Rhinolophus ferrumequinum: one gene and its partner. The protein of the gene in region 2 interacts with the protein of the main gene of each other region in a biochemical or structural test. Links are inferred from orthologs where the notes say so. Each region holds a gene or a part of one and is shown on either strand. Other genes may lie near its edges. The genes, in order: ASF1B and CHAF1B.

Region 1 (11,994 bases), on a different chromosome or scaffold from region 2:
CTAGGATTTGATCAAACTCCTCACTCTCAGCTGAGCCGACATAAATAATCTTCCACTCCAGGTCTGTAAGAACACGGGTGTTAAGGAATTGAAATAGTTTGACAGCGGGAAGGCAGGGAAAGGGTCTTCTTGGGCTAGTTTTGGACAGCAAAAGATCCTTATTCTCCACAACACCTGACATCCTCTGGGCACTAAGTGCCAGCGAGGTACTAGTCTTGAACACTGGGGCGGGCAGGAAGCTCTTACTTCCAGTGGGAAATTTCTCCTGTAGGCCTAGCTTTGCCAGGCGACCTTGACTGCACCTCTGGGGAAACTTGGGCCTCTCAAAGCCTGAGGGTGAACCGTATGGCAGAGGCTGAATTAAGACCCACGTGACAGAGGCGTGCTGAGGGAACAGAAAGGAGTTGGGTCATTTCAGGGCCCTGCTCACTGGATGCTGGGATAGGAAGCAGCATCCTCTTTCACACACAGGGATCTGTGCCACTGAATTGAGTAGATCCCTCGACAACTGGGACAGGGCGGCAGATTCCAATCCAGCAGGAGAGCCAGCCGTCAGAAGGAAGAGAAGACTGCTGGGGGAGCCAGCCTGTCCCCAAGAATTCCAGATTCGGCACCAAGTAATGTCTGTTCATGGCTATTGGGGCGATGGTGACTTAGTCAACAAATGTGGCCCCACAAGGTGATCCTCTGAACACCAACTCTCTTGCATCCCATTCAGTAGGGGGATTCCATTGCTGAGTACGTTCGGGGGAGATGCAAGGAAAAGTGCTTAAGGAGACCCTGCCTATCAATCACAGGAAATTCCCAGGGACCGCTGCCTCTTGCAGGAGGTCCAAGTGTATCAGGGGCAAGGTCACTCTAGTACAGGGAAGCTTGGCAGGAGACCTGAAACTTATTTTAGGTTCTCTGAAATTACACAACCTACTGCTCCAGCAGCTGGGGGAAGTTTCACAAGCTGTGATTTTCACAGGAAGCAAATGCTCTTGGAAGCTGCCCTGTTCCTTGGTCCACTGTCCTGCAAGTGCATCCACATTCGGAAGCACACTGATACCCGGCCATGACTAGAGGTTAGTCACCTGAGCCCCAAGCTCTTCCTCGATACACTGGCTTCCTGTCCCTTTGCAGTTTTGCCCAGAGCTACTCAGGGACCCTAGCAGGTCTGTGGGGTATGGTGACCCCCGGGGCTCACTGAGGTTCAGTCAAACTCTAGTCTCATTGTTTGCAGAGAGGATTAAATTTATAGATTTATTTTTGTTATAAGTAGTGATACACCTAGACATAACATGTTTTGGGACAAACAAAACCAGCTAACTCTGTTCTCACCTTTCTCACACAGCTCTAGATTTTGGTACCTTTCCTTCTGGCCACTCCCCCATCACCAGTGCAATCACATATGTGTACATTTAACTAATGTGCTAGAGGATGGGGAGATAAAAAGGAGACTGAAATAGAGCAGGCTAGGGGCAAGCCACAGGCACCTGATGTTCAATATTGTTAGCAAAACCTAAACAAAGACTGAGTGGGTGCTGACCGGAAGAGAAAACACTGCGTGGGCAGCCAGGCAAGTAAGTGGGCCACAATGGCTCCCTCAATAGGAAAGACACCAGAGAATTAACAGAGGACCAGAGAAATATTGACTCAAGAGTTGCAGGAGCTGATAAAATCACCTACGGAAGGCAAAAGGACCTACAAATTGGAATCATCTTCAAGTTGAAGTGTTTTAAGCTGAAGCATAAAGTGACTTCATTTTTTAATAGAACTCTTCTTTAGAATTAGAAATGGGGGGTGGCCGGTTTGCTCAGTTGGTTAGAGCGTGGTGCTGGTAGCACCAAAGTTGCTGGTTCATTCCCTGCATGGGCCACTGTGAGCTGCCCCCTCCTTAAAAAAGAATTAGAGGGCGGCCGGATGGCCCAGTTGGTTAGAGCACAAGCTCTCAACAACAAGGTTGCCTGTTCAATTCCCACATGGGATGGTGGGCTGTGCCCCCTGCAACTAAAGACTGAAAACGGCGACTGGACTTGGAGCTGAGCTGCGCCCTCCACAACTAGATTGAAGGACAACTTGGAGCTGATGAGCCCTGGAGAAAGACACTGTTCCCCAATATAAAAAAAAATTTAAAAAATTAGAAATGGGACATCAGTCACCAATACAGCATAAACTCATTCTATTGAATACAGGACAATTATATACATGTAACATGTGTACCTAACAACTGGGCAATTTCAAGGGAATTCAACTGCATTACATTTTGTTTTTATGCCCTAACCTTACGATCTAACCACTGCACAAGATGCTCCTCCACTATGAATGGAAACAAAACCAAAACCAATGCCATAAAAGACCTGTAAAATATTATTGTAGTTGAACTAGCAGAAGAAGCTGTTTCCTGCCTCTTTTTTAAAAAACTTATCTAATAGGCCTTTTTCTGTTTATCACTGTCTTTGTAATCATACAGATGAACCTTGGCCTGACCAGAGTGTTAGCTGTGGGTCAGAATATCTGGCCCCATGACTTATTCAAGCAATGTCTGTTGAACTTCTCAGGTAAATGGGGGAAAACATATGTATGTTAAATGTGGACCCATGTTTTGGAAGCATCTATTTCCAGATGCTCAGGAGAAAGAGAGCAAAAAGACCTTGGAGCCCTTGGGAAACAAGGTCAGCTGATTGACTGGGGGTTTGGGTGTCTTGTCAGATCTTCAATTGCCAGTGTCGAGATGATAAGATTAAGATTTCTCCAGGATCTGAGAGACTTCTAAAGTCAGGCCCACTCATCTTTTTGGGAGACAGGCAGGAAACTAATTCTTTCTGCTCCATGGGAAGAGGGCCAGGAAGAAGTAGAAAGCAAACTGGCAGGTCAGAGTCACAGAGAGCCCTAAGAAGAACAGAGTCTGGATTTCCAGGCTAGAGTTTGCTTTGCAACTCGAGTTTCTCTGAGCAAAATCTTTATTGTCTGGGTGTAATTAATAACAGGACACCCTTTGCTCTCTTGTGAGAGTGTCCTGATGTGGAAATAAATTCTACGATCAGTTCTATTTATGTTCCACTTCTAAAATAGAGGATGCATTCTTTCTTTCCCAGGTTATAGCAGAGATAAAAGAACCCTGGACTAAGAACTCAGAGAAAAGCCCTAGTATCAATAATTCTGCCAACCAGCTATGTGACCATGGAGTAGTCATTCTGTTTCTATTAAAAAATAGTGACCAGCAGGTTGATTTTGGATCTTTCCTACTCTGATTCTAAAAACAAGTTAGTAAAATAACAGAGCAGGGGCTTCATAGGAATAAAAGTATTAGAAAATGACCACATAACCATTTTAAAATGCAAGGAGCACAAGCAGGCTGATTGAAACCTGATCTCCTGCCATGTGGGAACTGTGAATCCCTTAATCTATTAGCTCCTTACATCTCCTCCTGGCTTTAAAATTAAATCTTATTCCAGTGTGACATTCTACACTTTATTTATTTATTTACACCCTGCCTTGTTCCAGAAAGGATTTAACTGTACTTATTCTATAGTTAGCCACAAGTAGACTCTGTAATTTAAAAAGGAGAAAAACCAGGGAGACTGAGCCCAAGCACATGAATCTCAAACTGTACCAACCCCAAACTAATCCCAGGGGCCGGCTTTGCAGGCAAACCACCCACCTACCATCAAGAGGCGCTAGTTAGTACACCCTGGCCTCACAGACCACCTCCTCAGCTGTTGCCTCTTTTCTTTAACCCAGTGAAGTGGTCTAATGGAGTACAGGCATACCTCAAAGACACTGTGGTTTGGTTTCAGACCACCGCAATAAATTGAGTAGTAATCTTTTTGCTGGTGGAAGGTCTTGCCTTTAATTTGTAAAAAATGCAACATCTGTGAAGTGTAATAAAACAAGGTATGCTTGTGCTTGTACTTCCTCTTGAAAGTGGTGCTAACACTTCCTGGGCGACCTTAGATTTTTGGATTTTTACAGATCTTTCCTTGCGAGGTCTGTCACTCTTTGTGGCTCCTGTCTTCTCATCTGTGAGATGAGAGCCATGTCCACCTTTATGTCACACAGATGAATAAGTACATCAGTGAAACCTTGGAAAAGATGCCCCAAAGGTTGTGATCCCCCAGCTGATTGCTTGAAGTTGGGTACCATCATGGCTCAGCCGGGCCCACATACCCTCCAGACTAGGTCAGACCATCAGAAGTGCCGGAGGAACTATGGCAGTAGGTCAAGCCGAAACCTGGCAGGCAAACAGTGGGAACTGGCTAATGCCTGGCTAGATCATCCTTCAGATTTGAGTGTGTTCATCGAAGTACACAGTCAGGGAGGAGGTAGGAACTGGAGCTGGGGAAACCAAGTTATCCTCAAAGACTGGAGCTAGAAGCCAGGCTATGCCTCCTCAGGTGGAGCTCAAGAATAAAGGGTTGGGGCCAGGCTAAGGAGAAGGGAAGCCAGGTTCTAGGTTACGTACTTTGGGGTAGAAAACAAGAAGTGAATGGGGTTGGTTAAATATCAGCAGGTTCTGGAGGGGATTATTGGGAGACAATGGGGAGATGGGGGTGAGTGAGGTCTTGCCACAGGAGAGGGTCTTCACAGGGAAAAAGGGTCACAGGAGGGGCTCCACTGGGAGGAAAAGGAGGGAACTTGAGGGAGAGGCCGCCACAAGGAAACTGGGGGAGGGGACTGAGGTTTCCATAAGGGAAATGGGAGGCTAGGGTTTCCGTATAAATAAAAAATGGGAGGCTGGAGGTTGGAGTCTCCATAGGAAAAAAGTGAGGCAGGAGTGTCTCACCACAGAGAGGAGGGGATGGGTGGGGGAAGACTGAGTGGGTGGAATAAAATAGAATTTTCTACACAGAAATAGGTGGGGGGTTTCTTGCTACAGGGAAGATGGGGAGGCTGAGGGTGTCCGCAAGTTAAAGAATGGCGGCGGATAAGGTCTCTACATAGAAAGCCCAGGAGCTCCACAGGAAGAAAAGGGAGCGAGGGAATGATGAGGTCTCCACGGGGGGAAACCGGAGTAACTGGGTAAGGGGGTCGGGTTGGCCGTGAGGTGGGGGTGGGAGGAAGTCTCCACGCGGAGATTGGGGCTGGCGGGGAGGGAAGTGGGGAGATCAGGGTTGGGGGTGTATTTCGAGGTCGGTGTTGGCCGCGGGAGCCTCTACGAGGAAGTCGGGTTGGCCAGGGGAACGGGAGAGGGGGGGGGAATCCATACAGGCCCAGCCTCACCGTCCGCCAGGGCCTCATTGCACTCGAAGCTGATCTCGAACCGGAAGGGGCTGTGGAAAGGGCTCGGATTCTCCAGCACGGCCACATTCAGCACCGACACCTTGGCCATCGCCTCGCCAGGCCGCAGTTCAAGCCAGAGCTGGGGCGGAGCCCACGGCTGGGTCCTGTCGGGTCAGCCGGACAGCGATGCTCACAGACTACCGCCTCCTTGGTCTGCCGACTGAACTGCGTATCTCGCCCGCGCGCCTCCTTCAAATAGCCGGCCGCACCCTCCGGCCAATCACCGTCAACGCTCCCCGGCGGCGCAAGCACCCCCTTAACCAATTCTGGAGCGCCGGGCGGCGCGCGCCGAGACTCCCTGGGCCAATCCGCTGAGCTCCCTCTTGGGGCTGCGCGTGGGAGGTGAGACCATCTCGGCTTTTTTGGGTGTCCGCCGGGAACCAATCCCCAGCGTTTCCGACTCGGATATCAAGGGCGGGGTGGGCGGAGCCAGAGCCTGTGTTCCTCTCAGCCAATGCCGAGAGTTCCCGCACCGGCGTGGCCCGCCCTTCGCCTCTCCCTTCCGGGAGACGCTACAATTCCTGAGCAGCGCCGCCAACTGCCGAGCGGTGGCGCGCGGCGCTAGCGTAAGAGGGCGGGAAGGGTGGTGCTCGAGCCAGCGGTGATTGGCAGGTAAGAAAGGAGTAAAGCAGCTTCTGTGAGATGTGATTGGCTGGGTTAGCCTCAGGGGGCGGGAGGAGAGGAAGACTCGGCTGGGGATTCGTGGGAGAGGAGCGGAAATAAGCGGCGGCGCGGTTAAGCGGGGTGTGAAGAGAAAGGAGAAGCGTTTGCTGCTTTGGCGTCTGTCGGCAGGTGATCGTTATCTGGAGCTTCTCTGAGGGCCTCTTGGCCCCTCAGGCCCAGCGGCCGGGGAGTTCGTTGTGAACGTTGTGAACGTTTGACTCACCCCTGAGGGGAGATGGAGCGGTGGTAACGCGGCGCTGGGGCGCGGACCCGGGAGTTGGCCCCAGTTCGAATCCCGCTCTCGTCCCTTCGAGGGCCGCTGGGAGGTGTCAGGTGGACAACGCTATTACTGGGAGTTCGAGTCCGGCCTCAGCCACTTAGCTCACGAGGCCACAGTTTCCCTGCTCATTGAACGAAGCCGTGAAAATTCATTGACATGATTCATGGTACATCTAGAAACTTCTCTCCACCCACATGCCGAGCTGGAGCACCGTTGGTTGCCTGGAAGACTCCAGGCACCTCAACACACACCCTCTCTGCTACCACCCACAACTAGTGGAAAAATAATTCGAGCCACATGCTTAATTTACATTTTTCTAGTAACCACGTTAAAAAAAGTTTTAAAAAATATTAACTTTAATATGTTGCATTTAATCCAGTATAAACAAAATATTATTTCAACAGGTGATGGGTGTAAAAAATACAAATGAGACAGCTTACATTTTTTACTGGGTAGTAAGGCTGCGAAATCCTGGGTGTTTTACACTTATGAGTACAGCTATGTTTTCATTAGAAAGAGTTGGTCTGGCTTTAAGTTTTATAAAACTTAACAGTTGAAAATGTAGATTCACATGTCCAAGCTGTTCCCAACATACTTAAAAGTTTTCCATGAGCTCAATCACATGCAGGTTTTTAAATTGAAATGTTAATTGATTAAAATTGAGTGACATGGAAAGTTCTGTTTCAGGGTGGCACTAGCTATTTTCAGGTGCTCATAGCCCCTGTGGCAAGTGGCTACTGTATTATTATTGGACAGTTCAGGTCTGAAATTGAATCAGTCATCCTCCTGCATATAACGTGAGTGATTTTCTATCGTTCCCAGGAAACTATGCCCCCCCCACACACACCCAATCCTACCCTTCCCTGGCTTCACTTTAATGGTAAATGGAAATTCTAGAAATAAACAATTCATAAGTTCTAAATAGCGCACCATTCTGAGTGTTGTGAAGAAAGATGAAATCTTGTACTAGCCTGTGCTATCGAGGAGGTGAATCATTCCTTTGTCCAGCATATCATAGAGACCCCCACATTCACATAACTTTTATTACAGTATATTGTTATAATTCTATTTTATTATTGTTGTTAATCTCTGACTGTGCCTAATTTATAAATTAAACTTTATCATAGGTATGTATATATAGGAGAATATATAGGCTTTGGTACTATCCAGGGTTTCAGGCATCCACGGAGGGTAGGTCTTGGAATGTGTCCTCCTCTGGTAAGGGGGCACTACTGTATTGTCTTTAAGACTACATGCTTTGTTTCCCACCAGCCCCAGCTTCAGTCTAGCCAAACTGACCCCCTCTTTGTTCCTTAAAAATCTGACATGGCATTCCCTGCGCAGAGTCTCTACCTAGAATCTGTTCTCCCAGTTCTTGGCATGGCTGGTGCCTTCTTGTCATTTACGTCTCTCTGTTCAAATGTCTTGTCAGAAAAGCTTTACCAACAGTCCTCTGGACAGTGTTAAAACTCACAGAGAGTAAGCCTGAATAGACTGGTCCAAGTCACTAGCATTTCTTATCTAGCAACTTCTGTGGCCTCCCTAGAATCTTACAGCCTCATAATGCTAGGTATGTTTTTATAGCTACATCTCAAGTAAAAAAAAAAACAAAAAAAACACAACTTTTTTTTGCATTTAAAAAAATTGAGACCTCTCCCCAAAAACTATTTGGCTACAAGAAAATTCACATTTGTAATGCCTGTGATTTCTTGGCAACCATTGGGCATAGTTGCAAGTTTTTGTGATTCTAGAAAATCTAATTTTCAAATTATTTTCAAATGTAATTCAGTTGCTTATGAATACTAAATTTAATGATGAATAAAGTTGCCATAATGTTACATTTTTCTAGATGTTTAATTAAACAGTTATTCATTCCAACTTTGTAGTTTTCTTTTTACATTGTGGAACTTTGTTTCCCTTTATCCCTAGCCCCAACCTTTTCAGCTGATTAGCTGAAAAGCTAATCAGCCACAAGCATTATGTCTGTGGTGCCAATGAAAAAAATGGCCCTGTCTGTAATGCGTTATGCGTACAGCTGGCTGAATAATCTTCAATTGTAAACCAGATCATGTTATTACCCTACTTAAAACCTTCAAAAGGCTTATCATACTTAAAATGAAACTTAAGATCTTTACTGTGGCTTAGGAGGCTCTGCATGGTGGCCTTAGCTGACCTCTCAGGCCTCATCTACAGTCTCCCTCTTGTCACCACTCTCAAGCCCAACTGGCTTTATTTCCTGTCTTTCAACAAACCAAGCTTATTCCTGCTGTAGGGCTTTGCACTTGCTGTTCCCTCTTTCTGGAATCTGCTTTCTTCAAATAATTGCATGGTTGTCTCATTCAAATCATTTATGGTTCAACTCAAATGTCAAACCTTCCTGGACCACCCTAGTTCAAGTTGCCCTTCCTTAATCACGTCACCCAGTTTTATCTTAGGGGCACTCAGAATCTGTACTTATGTTGGTTTTAAGTTGTGCTTGTTATTTCCCATCATCCCTCAGTAGACTGAAAGGTTAAGGGCAGAGCTCTCACCTGCTTCATGTTGACCTCTCAGTGTATTTCTAGAGGTTGGCACAGGGCCTCGCACATAGAAAGTCTTCAGTAGGTTTTTTAAAAAAGGATAAATCCATATAAAGGGCTTAGCATAGTACCCGGAATGTAAAAAGCACGCAATAAACATGAACTGTTATATATAATAAGCAGGTAAGTCTGTATTCTCCTTATGTAATATTTCAGGTGCACACACTTGAAAAACTCTAAGAAATACTATGACAAAATACACTTTTACTCATTACCCAGCTGAAGAAGTAAAACATTAGTGATGCATTTGAAAGGCCCTTTCTCAAACCTGCTCCTCTCCCGTTTTCCTCCAGTGTTACTGCAACCCTGGATTTGGTGTTTATTTTTCTGTGCATGTTGTGCATCTTTATATGCATGTGTCTTTTATTGTAGTGTGTCATGTTCTACAATTTTATATAAATGATATCTATGCAAAAAAGAGTTAACCTAAGAGGCCTGAGACAGCTATTCTTAGAAAGGCCTATTGGCAAAGCTGGCCTTTGGCTGGTGTCTAGGAACTTGGATTTTAGGAGGGTTCCCAGCAGTCTCTAAATGGTAAGAGTGGCTTATGGTGCTTAAACTATTTGTACAGTGTGGTTTATGTTGAACACCTGCTTTCTTTCTGAAGTCTGGAATTCTGGTATTTGACCAACCCCCAATAAGTACCTTAGCACTGAGCCTCTAATAGGCTTCCCTGGTAGACAACATTTCACACGAGTTGTCACAGCTCTGCTGCAGGAACTAAGCGCGTCACATTTGACACCAGTAGGAGAGGACTCTTGGAAGCTTGTGCCCGGTTTCCTCCAGACTTTAGGCCCCTTGTGCCTTTCCCCTTGGTTGATTTTGCTTTGTACCCTTTTGTTGTAAGAAATCATAGCCATGCATACAGTTATATGCTAAATCCTGCGAGTCTTCCTAGGGAATCATTGAACCTGGGGGTGATCTTGGGGAACCCTGACACAGTATCATACTAGATAGATCCTGACAGGGCTGGAACTAGGGTAAGGCAAGGAAAGCACGTAGGGCACAAAATTTAGGAGGTGCTCACTCTCAGGGTCGCTCAAGTGTCCAATTTGCACTTGTATGACCCTGAGGGTAAGTACCTCCTACAGTTTTCACCCTAGGCACCTAACTTCCTTCACTCTAGACCTGCCCTACCGTCTGAAACTTGCTTTTTTTTGGTCCAACATAATGCTTTTGAGATTTATCCATGTTGACACATGTATATAGCTCTAATTCATTTATTTTCACTGCTGCATAGCTGTGCTATCTGATGTAGCCAGTAGCCACATGTGGTCATTTAGATTTCAATTAATCAAAATTAAATAAAATGAAAAATTCATTTCCCCAATCACATTAGCCATATTTCACATGCTGGATAGGCACCTGTGGCTAATGGCTACTGCATTGGACAGCATGGACAGAGATCACTTCCATGATCACAGAAAATTTTGTTGGACAGTGTTTATGTACCCATTCACCTCTTGGTTAATATTTAGGTTTCCAGCTTTCACCTGTTACAAACAGTGTTGTTGTGTATGTCTCCCTGTGCATACATGCAGGATTTTCTCTAGGATACGAACCTAGGAGATGAATTGCTGGCTTATGGGTTATGGGAGTATTCACCTTTGCTAGATATTGACAGTTTGCTCTTCAAATAGATCATCGTGATTCCCACTCCTACCAGCAGTGTTGCTATTGCTCAGTGTCCTTATCAACACTTCGTATTATCAGACTTTTACGTTTTTGTCCTTCCGATGGGTGTGAATTAGGTTTCAGTTTGCATTACTCTGATTACTAGTGTTGAGCTGTTTTTATATATATATATATATATATATATATATATATTTGGGGAAGGGGAACAGGACTTTATTGGAGAACAGTGTGTACCTCTAGGTTTTCCAAGTCAAGTTGTTGTCCTTTCAATCTTAGTTGTGGAGGGCGCAGCTCAGCTCCAGGTCCAGTTGCCGTTGCTAGTTGCAGGGGGCACAGCCCACCATCCCTTGTGGTAATCAAGGAATCGAACTGGCAGCCTTGGGGTTGAGAGCCCACTGGCCCATGTGGGAATCGAACCAGCAGCCTTCGGAGTTAGGAGCATGGAGCTCTAAACGCCTGAGCCACTGGGGGCCTGCCCATTTTCATACGTTTATTGACCATTTGCCTTCTGTGAATTGCCTTTTCATATCTTTGCCCATTTTCCTGCTGGGTTTTCTTCGTCTTACTAAGTTTAGGAGTTCTTTCTCACATCTGAAGTTTGCCTTTTCATTTTTATGGTGACTTTTGATGTTCAAAATTTATTATTTTAATGTCATCAGAATTACCAATCCATGTATATTTTGTGGTTTTTGACCCTTGTTTAAGAAATCTTATCCTGAGGTCAATAAGATATCTTACTGTGTTTTATCCTGGAAGTTTTACTTTTCATATTCATCTTTAAAAAATAAAATCTACCTGGACTTTATTTTTGTTTATGATGTGAGGTAGGACTGTGATTTAATTTTTCCACGTGATCAACCAGTTGTACCAGACCCATTTGTTGAGTAGTTCAATGGTTCTCAAAATGTGATCTCCTGGGATCCCCAAAACCCTTTTAGGAGATCCAGGAGATAAACCATTGTCATAATAATTTGAAGGAGTTGTTTCCCTTTCTCATTTGTGCTGTGTTGTCATGTGCACTATTGGTATAAAAGCAATGGTGGGTAAAACTGTTGGCATCTTAGCAGGAATCAAGGTAGTGTCACCAAACTAGCAGTAGTTATTATTGTATTCCTCGCCGCCACACACTCCAACATAAAACAAAATACTTTCACTTAAGAATGTCCTTGAAGAAACAGTGAAAAGTATAACACATAACACAATTATGTGTTAAAGCTTAGCCCTGCAACAGATCTTTCTAATATTCTGTGTGGTGAAATGGGAAGTTTTCATAGAGTACTTCTATTGCATGCTGAAGAATGATGGTAATTGATAATACAATTGTTTGAGTTGAGGTGAAACTGGTGACTTTTTTTTCATGTAACACCATTTATACTTGAAAGACAGACTGGTTACTCAGATTAGGGTATTCAGCAGATATTTTCTCAGAAATGAATGGAGTAAGCTAGTCACTGTGAGAACAACTGACCGTTGCTGCCAATGATAAAATCTGAGCTTTCAAGCAAAACTTAGACGTTTGGGAAACTTTTATTCACCACCATGAATCTGGCCATTTTTTAATATTTAAAAGCT
Region 2 (10,876 bases):
ACGGCATGGTACTCAAAGGACAGACTTTTACGGAGAGGATGAAGACGAGACGACGCTGGTGGCGGCAGGGACCCTACCAGGGCACCTGGCTTGTGGGAGAATTAGAAGCCTGTACCACGGAGGAAAGCAGAGGAAGAGGCTGGGAGAAAGCACAGAGCAGAGTGAGTAAAAGGCCTGCAGGGCTGGACATCAACGCCGCTGGCCTTTGGAATTTCACGCTCTTTTTACACTGTAATTTCTCAGTGTGTACGTCTGCCCAGCTAGAGAGCAGGTTCTCGAAAAGCTGTGAGGTGTGCTGGGCTTTCTTTGATCGTCTAAAATGGAAAGCTGATCCTACCTACCCTGACACGCAGATTTCAGTGCCCCCATTAGTTGTGACTTGCTGACCTTCCCAAGATCCTAAGCTCCACGAAGGCAGGGATCAGCCCTGCCCCCATCAGGGACGCATCCCCAGGCCTGTGGGACCCACCTTGCTCTGGCACCAGTCACTCACGACACCACTGCTAAGCCTCATACACTCTGCCTGGGACCCTAAAACTGAGCTGGATCGTGGCATGTGGGCGAATCCCTAACCTGTCGTGCCAAACACCTATTTTAGCTCACTAAAGACACTCTTCTTACTCCTTTAAAGACAATGGGGGCAGTCTTTTTAGACACTTAAAATATTCCTTCCCCTGATAGTAACAAAAACATATAGCTACCTTTACTGACATCCCATATGATGGCGGTGTTATCCACGGAGGCAGAAGCCATGAAATTCCCATCAGATGCCCAGCAAATATCATACACATCTTCTAGGTGGCCCCTAGAATCCGAAGAGGAAAAAGATGGGAGAAGGGAGAGGAAAAACTATCAAAAATGTACAGGCAAACTCAGGGACCACACATTAGAACGGGATATTAGAAATTTCCATTGGGAACTGTATTCGCTATAGCTACACTCCACTACCTTCAAGGATAGTTGTAGCTTTAAAACAGACTCAATTTTACTAAGGGAAATTGTACAGCAGAAACTAAGAAAATCCATTTTAATCATGCTTTTCTCTTTTAAAGCTCTTCTCTCTTATTTCTTTCTTGCATAAGTCAAAGTTTCAAGCAAGATCTGGAAGTCAGAGTGCGTTTCAGGCAGAGGCACTGAGGGCAGGACCACGCCCACAGCCCCCCCCAGGGTACCTCAGGGTTTTCACCACCGTCCAGTTCTCCTTATTCAGCTGAGCCTCATCCTCATCCTGAAAAGCAACCTGCTCGGGCTCCTTGTTATCATTCACCTTCCACAACAGAATGACAGCATCTGTGGAGTGAGTCAAGTCAAGGTGAGCGGTGCTTCTGAAGGCATATCATCGCCTCCACAGCTAAGGCACTGGCAAACAGACCAGCTGGCAGGGAGGAGCTGGGCCTCCTCACGATGCCCACCTGACCTGTCAAGGACAGGCACTAGGTAGCTGATAATTTGTAGCTGTGACTTCTCTGGGGCGGGAATGGAAGCGGGGTGGGGGTGCCAGGCCCCAGCTTTGTTCCCTGGTCCCCTGTAGCCTGCAGAAGTGTTCAGTGAAGGGAAAGGCGGGAGTGGATACAAGTGGGGAGCTCTAAAACGACAATTAAAGAAAAAGAAGCCATGCTCTATTATAGCACACCCCTTCACGTCTGGAGTTTTAGGGCATTAAGTAATATTTATGTTGTTCAATAGACACGATGGCCACAAGGATTGACTTCTCAGAATGCAGACAAGAAAAACAGGTTTGCCTATAGAACTAAAACTCCAAAATCAAACTTATGCCAGATCAGAGCTATACAAAGTCACCTGAAACAGAAGGGTCCCAAGGCCAGCAAAACACCACTGCAAAGCGACTGACTACATTAACAAATCTAAAGGCATAACCTATAAATGACTGAATAGGAAAAAAAAACAACAGCAAAGAGCCACCAACACAAGAGTTGGCAGATCGTTCCTAGCTGCGTACTTTTAGCAAGTCACTTAATGCCTCAGTTTCCTCACCTGTAAAATGGGGATAACAGGATACCTACCTCAGAAGGCTATTTGAGGATTAAATGAGTACATATGCATAAAGCACTCACAACACAATGCCTGGCACATGGAGAGCCCATAGATGTGTCAGCTATTGAGATCACGGACACATCAGATACCTTAGCTTGATGTCATCAATTGTCTGAGTCCTCTGACTCCCACGTTCTGTTCTGACTCCACACTCACCACAAAACCTGACCGTGCCCTGGCTTCCCTTTGAGGAACGCCTGCAGGAGGAGAGTGAATGAAATGGTTGGCTATGTGGACACCTGCGGTCTCATTTTAAATTAACTGGAAGCCTGGGAGTTTGGCTGAGAGAAGACTGGCCCCACAGATGGACGCTCTCCACATGCTGACTAACAACAGCAGGTTTCTGAGCCAAAGGACTTTGTATAACGAGTGCTGGCGAGACCTTTCTGATCTCGCCGGAGCCAGCCCACTGGCCTCCCCAGGTGGTGTTCCCCACTCACCACCTCTCCCCTCCCAGGACATCATGGCACTGAATCTAATAACCAGGTCTCTTTTCCTCCTGTAAACAAAATCTGAGATTTTTGTTTTATTTTGTACTGACTTCTAGAATGTTCTATTGTTAAAGCATGGTAAAAAGATTTACTTTTTCTGTATAGTCTGAAGAGTGAAGATAGAGAATATATAAAATGGAGTCCCTTTAACCAAGGTGTTAAAATTATTAACGTTATGAAGGTTGAGGCATGAGGAAGGACTATTCTTGTTGTACCTAGCCTAGAAACTCAAACTTTTTTAACTTTCCAGTCCTGTCAATGCCTGGATATTCATCTGAATATACACCAGACCTCCAGATAACTTTCTGATCGCCCACTAAAGGACTCATATATCCAGGCCACCATACATCCAGTATCCAGACTGCCAGGCATGACCAAACCTCATGGTGCACATCCTCTAGCCCACCTGACATCCATCAGCCAGACTGCCAGACACCTGAGTGACAACCGTCCTGGACCAATCCTAGGCCTGAGAAGGCAGGACTGAGAATTCTCAAGAATGTACTTTTGGGGCGGCAGGGTGGCTCAGTTGGTTAGAGCGCGAGCTCTCAACAAGGTTGCCGTTTTGATTCCTGCATGGGATGGTGGGCTGCGCCTCCTGCAACTAAAGATTGAAAATGGCGCCGGGACTTGGAGCTGAGCTGCGCCCTCCACAACTAGACTGAAGGACAACGACTTGACTTGGAGTTGATGGGCCCTGGAGAAACACACTGTTCCCCAATAAAAATTAAAAAAAAAAAAAACCCTAACCCATTTTAAAAAAAAAGAATGTACATTTGACTTCTCTTTCCATTTTGGAACACTCCTGGGATTTTGCCTAGCTTTGTTCCCAGTGTGCCAACTCTAAGACCCTTGAATAAAGCTCTATCATTTATTTGTAGCCAAAGCCTCCAGACTCTTTCTGAGTTTGCTCAACAAGTTTTATGCCATTTAAGTAAAAGCAGAAAGTAGGAATCAATCTACTTCTCCCAAACAATTTACAGGGCCATTTGGACAATAGTCCCTAAGCCAATTAATTGTACGGAAACATGGAAGAGACTGTGACCACTTACATATACTAAACTAACAATCAAGCCCAGATAGAACAGTTGCCTTGGGACTCTGACAGAATGGTAAACACCTTCCTACTTGCCTGCAAACCAGCCCAGTGGGAAAGGGGCCATTTTCAAATAGGTCTTCTCAGCTTAAGCTTGTTGTCCTCCACCCATGCCTGCTCCCCAGAACATTATTTCACTAACCTATTTCAATAATAGATTGAGAACGTCAAGCAACCTCTAAAATAAAAAAGCCATCTAAGCTCAAATCTCACTATTTAACACGTGACACCTGGGTATGTGTTTTCTAAAGAGTTTTGAAGTGCAATACTCACCATCTCCTCCCGATGCTAAAATTTCCCCACTTGGAGAAAAACGCACGACATTGACAACTTTGGTATGGCGAGCAAGATTGGACAAAAATTCAACAATGGCCTTTCCATCTGGTCCTTTTTCTACCTTCCAGATCTGTTGGTACCAAAACATTCATTCAGAGAAACACAGAGTGAGCACCTACCATAAGATGCATACTAAAACAGTACTACGCTTACTTTCAGGGTGGAAACTTAGTTTTTCTTTTGCAACATAAAATGAAGAAACTTCTTTCTGAAACAAACCCATGGTCCCACTGCCTGTAGTCTTCCCTCCTATCTCTTTCTAGCGCAGACTCTTCCCCAATAGGAATCTGGCTCAGGATTTTAAAATAATGGGCGTCCAGTTATGTCAATCTAAGAAATATTACCCAAGGAAGAAATCTGCTTTCTTTTGCTTTCATTGTTCACTCAAGACCCGGAGAACCTATCCCTCTGGACTAGATGAGGAAGTAGTTTGAGTTGCATAACATCAGTTTTACATAAAAGATTGGAGAATGCTGCTTCACTGGTGCTTCTCTGTGCCTTTCTATCTCTGCCAGATTTACCCTAACAGTGGTGTCCACCCCTGCGGACGCCAGTTTGTGGATCCTCCCGGCCGCGCCATGCTGGAAGTCCAGGCTGTACACAGGTTCCTTGTTGTGCCAGGCTATTTCACAAGTGATGACTTTCATCCTCCTGAGTCTTGAAGGGGCAACAATATTCCTCGCACACCGTTCTATTTCCAGACAGGAAAGCTGAAAATCGTTGGAAATGGATATAGCAGGAAAGGACAAAGATTTGTGTACCTGTGTTGATACACCTTGAATCCCCCAGGTGTATTCAACATTTATTATGAACCAGGAATCCTGCTAAAACATTAAAACGGTAAGCTGTACTGGGAAAGGATGTTAATGTTGACCTGTGACGTAACACCTTGCGAGTTCTACCTCGCCTGTTAAATCTGTTCTGCTGCTACCGAAAAGCAAAAAGGAACCCTCAGGCAGAGAAGTTAAAGGGGCTGGGGCTGGCTGCGCAACCGCCCCCCCCCTTAGTGGGGATTGGCGAGCGCGCCTGGAGAACCAGGGGCCGGGTCCTCCAGGGGAGGGGGCTGTGCGGAGGGGGACGCAGTAGTAGGGTGCGACCCGGAGGAGGAGACCCGGGCCGCTGGACACCCACACTTCCCAGGAGCCCGGACGCCCGTGGGAGGGAGCTGTTCGGGGGAGGGGCCCCAGAGGGACAGGGCGGCCAAGGGGGAGGTGGGGGCTGCCGGGTAAAGGGTCCGCAGAGGGAGGGAGCCGCGGCCGCGGGGGGAACCCCACTTCCCACAGTCGGGGCCTCCCAGGGCAGAGGACCCGCCCTTCCCAGGCCTCGCGGGACAGGGCGGTCTGCCGGGGAAGCCAAGAGCGGGTTTAGCTGGGAGACCACGCGGGGCAGGGGCCTTGGCGGGAACTGGCCGCCTAAACGCGCGCCGCTCTGGAGCTATCCCGGGCCCCTGCAGCCTGCCCTCGGCGAGAGTCTCTCGCTCCCGCCCCGCCCGGACCGGAGACCCAAGGGGACAAGCAAGCCAGATCCGCAGAAAACATACCTGCAGGGACGCGTCCAATTCAGCAGCGCCTTGGCGCGCGCGGTTTCCCGCGCGCCGCAGGCCGCGCCCCCGAGTGGGCGGGGCTTCAGGACGCCCCGCCTGCCCGCCCTAGCACACTGGGTTGGTCCAGCCGGGGCTGAGTCGTTCCATTGGGGCTAGTTCCTGCCGGCTCACTAATTCCCCGCTGGACCCAGGCACCGGAGAAACAATGGGGGTAGTTCATTCACTCGTTAGTTCCATAACTTCTTCCTTGTAGATTCAGTCTTTTAGCAAAATTTACTCATCATTTGCTATATGCTGGACCTTGTGCGGTCGCCGGATACACAATGGATCGCGAAGCTGACTTAGACTTACCCTCAGGGAATTTACAGTCCGGTAGAAGGAAGGGAAGAGTCGTCCTGTAGGACAGGTGGGAAGGCTGTAACTCTGAGATCCTCCCAAGACTACCAAATCTCTTACTGGTGCAGCAAATATTAGGTTGGTGCAAAAGTAATTGCGGTTTTTGCAATTTTTTTTTTTTTAACCTTTTAAACAGCAATTACTTTTATACCAACCTAATGTTTGAGAGCTGTAACCTGTATCAGGCCGTCTTGGTCTCTAGAATTCCAAACATCAATAAAACACAGAGACTGTCTGTAGTCAGGTACACACGTATAATAAAAAGTGAAAAGCAGCGTGAAAGGAACGATATGCTCTTACAGTTCTGAGGACGATTTTATTTTGGATTTGAAGGCTCAAAGGAAGTTTGAAGAGAAGGGGGCGTTTAAAGGGGGTTTCAGGTGCTGGAGTTTGGGATGAGCAGCTCTGGGAAATGGGGATTCAAGCTAAAGAAATTCAGTGGACAACAGAGGCACAAAGTGGGAGCAGTGAGCCCTGCAAAGGGAAAGGATGGGTGGGGCAATGACCCAGAAGCCTCTGGACGTGAATGAGCAGGTCAAATGGACACGTGCGTTTCAAAGGCAATTTTAATTCTCATTCTAAATTAATTGGAATCCTGATTGCATACATTAGTCTGGGAGCTTGGTGGACATGAGGTTGGCCCTGACAGATGGACACTCTCCCTGTGGGGACTAACAGGTTTCTGGGCCTTCAAAGCCAGGGGACTTTGCAAAACCCCCTGCAACCTGCAGAAGAAAGCCTTCCACATGTGACTCGCCCTCTCCCCACCTTTCCCCTCTTTTCTCTCTGGATTATCATGGCACTGAAATCAACCAGGTCTCCTTCTCCCTTTGCAAACAAAAAGTGAGGTTTCTTTTTTATATATTGGCTTCTAGAACACTGGAGAGTTCAAAGCTATGGGATTGTTCAGTAACTGGATTGCTTACATTATACCCCAATTAGCATATGTGGTTATAAACACTTTTTAAAAACTGAATTTAACATTTTAAAGGGAGAAATTGATGCAGCAAGCCTTTTGAAATGGGATAATTTTCCAAATGGGTCAGCTTGCCAGTGAGCTTCCTTGAGTCAGGAAACAAATACCTTGAGAAGCATAGTCTTTACTTGATAAAAGGAAGATACAGGTTCATCTGAGAAGCCAACTCTTCCTGGCATTTTTAGGGAAAAGAATTGACATGGATTCTTCTTACATAGGTGCTGGTTGAAGCTTTGAGCCAGTTTTATGATATAGAAATAGTCTACAAAATGGATGTCTCATGTTGACAAGAATGAGGCTCCTGAAGTTTTGTTTCTACAGGAAGCTCGGGATAACATAATCCAGATATGTAGCTTTTAGATGTTCTTGCTTAAATCATGACTAGGATTTACAGAGCTTGGACTGGGAACGACTAGTATGTACTACAAATAATCTGGCTGTTTTAAAAGTAGATTCCTGGCCCTATCTGGGCCCACTGATTCAGACTACCCAACAGGGAGATCCAGGGGTCTGCCTCTTCACAAGCTCCCAGGAGAGTCTGATCATCAGTCTGATTTAGAAAGCCCGGGATTCAATGTCTCTTATAACTCTCAGGTTTCTCCAAATTTCTGAGCAATGCTATCGATTCACAAATGAATCCTCTGACAATCTCCTGAGGTGCCAGGATTCTAGACTGGATTAAAAAGATAAGACACATGCTTAGGTACTAAATATACATGAAGGAGTTTGCTTTCTTGTTGAAAATTTTTGCAACCTGACGTCAATTCCTGCTTTGTGGGCCATCACATGCAGAAGCTGGTGGCCTAGAGTGGGGCCCTGGGCTGTGCTAAAAGTTTTCTCAAAAAAGAAAAGTAAAAGAATTTGGTTGAGACCTCAGAGCTTTGCCCTGGACTGGATGAAAGAAGTTCTACAGCATCAACAACCACTCACCTCCAGTTTGGGCCAGAGTACTGATTTTAGCAGAATTACATGACTCTAAGTGGGCCAGTGTTATTTGGTCTCCCAAGAACTTTATAGTGAAAATGAACATAAAGGGAATAAATCTTACCTTGGCTTTAAAAACCAAATAACAAAGACTTCTCTGAACCCACTTCTCTACAATTTCCTTTTCTAAATGTGACAACTCTGGAATAAAAATATGAAGTCAGTTAGTCCCCATAAAACATTATTAAAGAATGGCAAATAGGAGTGCACAAAAATACTTAACAGCAGGAAGTTCAATACTGGGTTGGGAAAAGATGTTGAGCAAATTTTATCACAACAAAAGACAGGAAAAATAGGATACAAAGTTAGAAATCAGCACAGAATGCACAAGACCTCTGGCACACTGCTGATGAGTGTAAAATGATACAAATTACTACAGACACAATGTTCTTGTCCCTCCAAAATTCCTATTTTCAATCCCGTGCAATGTTAGAGGTGGGGGCCTAGGGAGGTAGTTGCATGAGGTCACGGGGGTGAAGACCCCATCATGCTATTGGTGCCCCGATAAGGGGATTAAGAGACTAGACGGACTCTCCCCACTCCCTTTCCTTTGGTATGCCGCGACAGACAGTGAAAAGAGACATCTACAAACCAGGAAGAGTGCCTCAGATACTGCATCTGTGGGTGCCTTGATCTTGGATTTCCTAGCCCCCAAAGCTGTGAGAAATGTGTTTGTTATTTAAGCCACCTAGTCTAGGGTATTTTTCTTATAGCAGCCTAAGCTAAGACAAATACTTCAGGCAACTGTTCAGCAGTTTCTAGTAAAGTCAAAGATATCTATCCTACGATCCAGCAATTCCACTTTTTAGTATATATGTAAAAAAAATGAAAGCAGACTTGCACGAGAATGTTTATAGCAGCTTTATTCATAAACCAAAATTGGAAAGACACTAAATACCCATCAACAGAAGAAAAGATAACCAAACTGTGAAATATTCATACAGTGGAATTCTATTGTGATCAAAAAGAAATGCTGACACATGCAACACCATGGATGAAGCAGCATTATGATGGAATAAAAGGAATTATTTCAAGTGATTGACAAGCACAGAAATGTGGTATCTCAAAGAAAGCTTGAACTTCTTCAGTATCCTATGACAAGGATATTGGTATTGTTACATATGTATATGAGTGCATGTGTTTATATCTGGGAAAAGCAAATAATTGTGGTTAGGAAAACAAATTAAGCCTCTAAATTGGCAATACTGGCATATATTCAATATATATTTTCTCTTTTAGAAAAATGAAGGATTTCCTAGCTCAGTCCACTCAAGGCCTAGAAGAAATGCCCAAACAAGCAAAGAATGTAGGTATCTGTGCCTAGATTATGGTCTCTGAATAACATTCTCCATGAAAAGAACCACAGCTCCTTGGAGGAATGGCTGTTTCCCAGTCTAGAACAGAAAATGTATCAGATGAGCCTCAAACACCTCATTATACCAGAAAGCAAGAAAATCAAAGACTACTAGGATTATATACTAAAGACAGGAGCCAATTTGAAGAGATCTCCAGCCAAAGCGAGACAATTTAACGTTGGAAAATTGCCACAATGGATTGAGACACAGTAAATGTTGAAATACACAAGTTTCTATTAGCAATAGCAACACCACCAAAAACTGTTGGCTGTATTTGGAAGGTATTTGGGAAACAAGCCAGGAGTCAAACATTTATTCTGCCTATTCTATATGAACTGTACCTTAGGATAACTAAATAGGTTTGCTTTATAGATTTCCCACCAGCTCAAAAAAAAAAAAAAAAAAAGAGTATCACCATTTCACAACTCATAATAAAATAATGGATCTAGGTGTGATTATTAATGGATGCTAAAATCCTTAGGTAATAGACTGATAGGGAACTTTATAATAAATAGACTGGGTTGACACCATCTAAACTGATTAATCTTAATAAAAGGAGACAAATGTACATTATGTACCTCTTAGTGTGATGCAATAGGAAGAACAAAGTAACACCTAAGAAAAAGAAAAAAGAACTTGAATCTGATTAACAATGTCGATCTAACTACCACTTTATAGGAAATACGAGATATTTTTTAAAAATTCAATGATATCAAAATGAGGGAAATGCTGAAAGAAAAATGTTGATTTCTTCAATGACTAAAAAAAGGAAGGACCTACAGATTTAAAGAAACCTGAGAGATATAGCAAAGAAATGTAATGTGTGGATTCTGTTTGGATCCCAAGTTAAACAAAAGCAGCTGGAAAAATAATTAAGAAGTGACCAAAGAAATTTGAACACTGACTAGATATACTAAAGAATTATCAATAGTTGAGATATAATAACAGTATTATTTTTGTGCTTTAAAATTCTCATAAAATCTAAAATGAAAACTTTAAATCTGATTATTTGAGATAATTTCATGTTTAGAGATATTTTTTGTTTAGAATTTACTTCAAAATGGGAGGGGCAATAGAGAATAGAAAACACAACAAAACCAAAAGTTGGTTTTGTGCAAAGATCAACAAAACAGACACCTTTAGCTAGAATGAGGGGAAGAAAACGAATACTCAAATTACTAGAATCAGAAAAGAAAGCAGGGACATTATTATTGATGTTATGGAAATAAAGATTATGGAAATGAAAATAGAATACTATGAACAAGTGTACGCGTATGTACCCAAAAGAAAGGACTCAGTTACACAACAATGTTCATAGCAGCATAACTTTTAATAGCAAAAAATTGAAACCAACCCAGACGTCCGTGGATGGATGAATGGATAAACAAATTGTGGTCTATACATACAATGGAATATTTTTCAGCCTTAAAAAGGAATTTAATCGAGATAGGCAATAACATGAACCTTACAAACTTCACACAGTGACATAAGCCAGATACAAAAGGACAAATATTTTGTTTCCACTTATATAAAGTATCTAGAATAAGCAAATTCAAAGACAGAACCTAGAGGTTACTACAGGCTGGAGGTAGAGGGGAATGAAGTATTGTTTAGTGGATACAGTTTGGGATGTCGAAAGTTCTG

The links.
Region 1: the proteins of CHAF1B (region 2) and ASF1B form a complex in vitro, tested with the Homo sapiens proteins (2 studies listed by BioGRID and IntAct). The link is inferred for Rhinolophus ferrumequinum from reciprocal best matches to the Homo sapiens genes CHAF1B and ASF1B.

What each region holds. Positions count from the first base shown.
Region 1 is NC_046301.1:47,877,248-47,889,241, reverse strand, and holds the start of ASF1B (histone chaperone ASF1B), read right to left. Parts: upstream 5,625-11,994; 5' UTR 5,315-5,624; coding exon 5,206-5,314; intron 64-5,205; coding exon 1-63. UniProt on the Homo sapiens protein: Histone chaperone that facilitates histone deposition and histone exchange and removal during nucleosome assembly and disassembly. Cooperates with chromatin assembly factor 1 (CAF-1) to promote replication-dependent chromatin assembly.
Region 2 is NC_046285.1:101,721,627-101,732,502, reverse strand, and holds the start of CHAF1B (chromatin assembly factor 1 subunit B), read right to left. Parts: upstream 5,584-10,876; 5' UTR 5,519-5,583; intron 4,689-5,518; 5' UTR 4,626-4,688; coding exon 4,500-4,625; intron 4,049-4,499; coding exon 3,916-4,048; intron 1,291-3,915; coding exon 1,173-1,290; intron 806-1,172; coding exon 702-805; intron 1-701. UniProt on the Homo sapiens protein: Acts as a component of the histone chaperone complex chromatin assembly factor 1 (CAF-1), which assembles histone octamers onto DNA during replication and repair.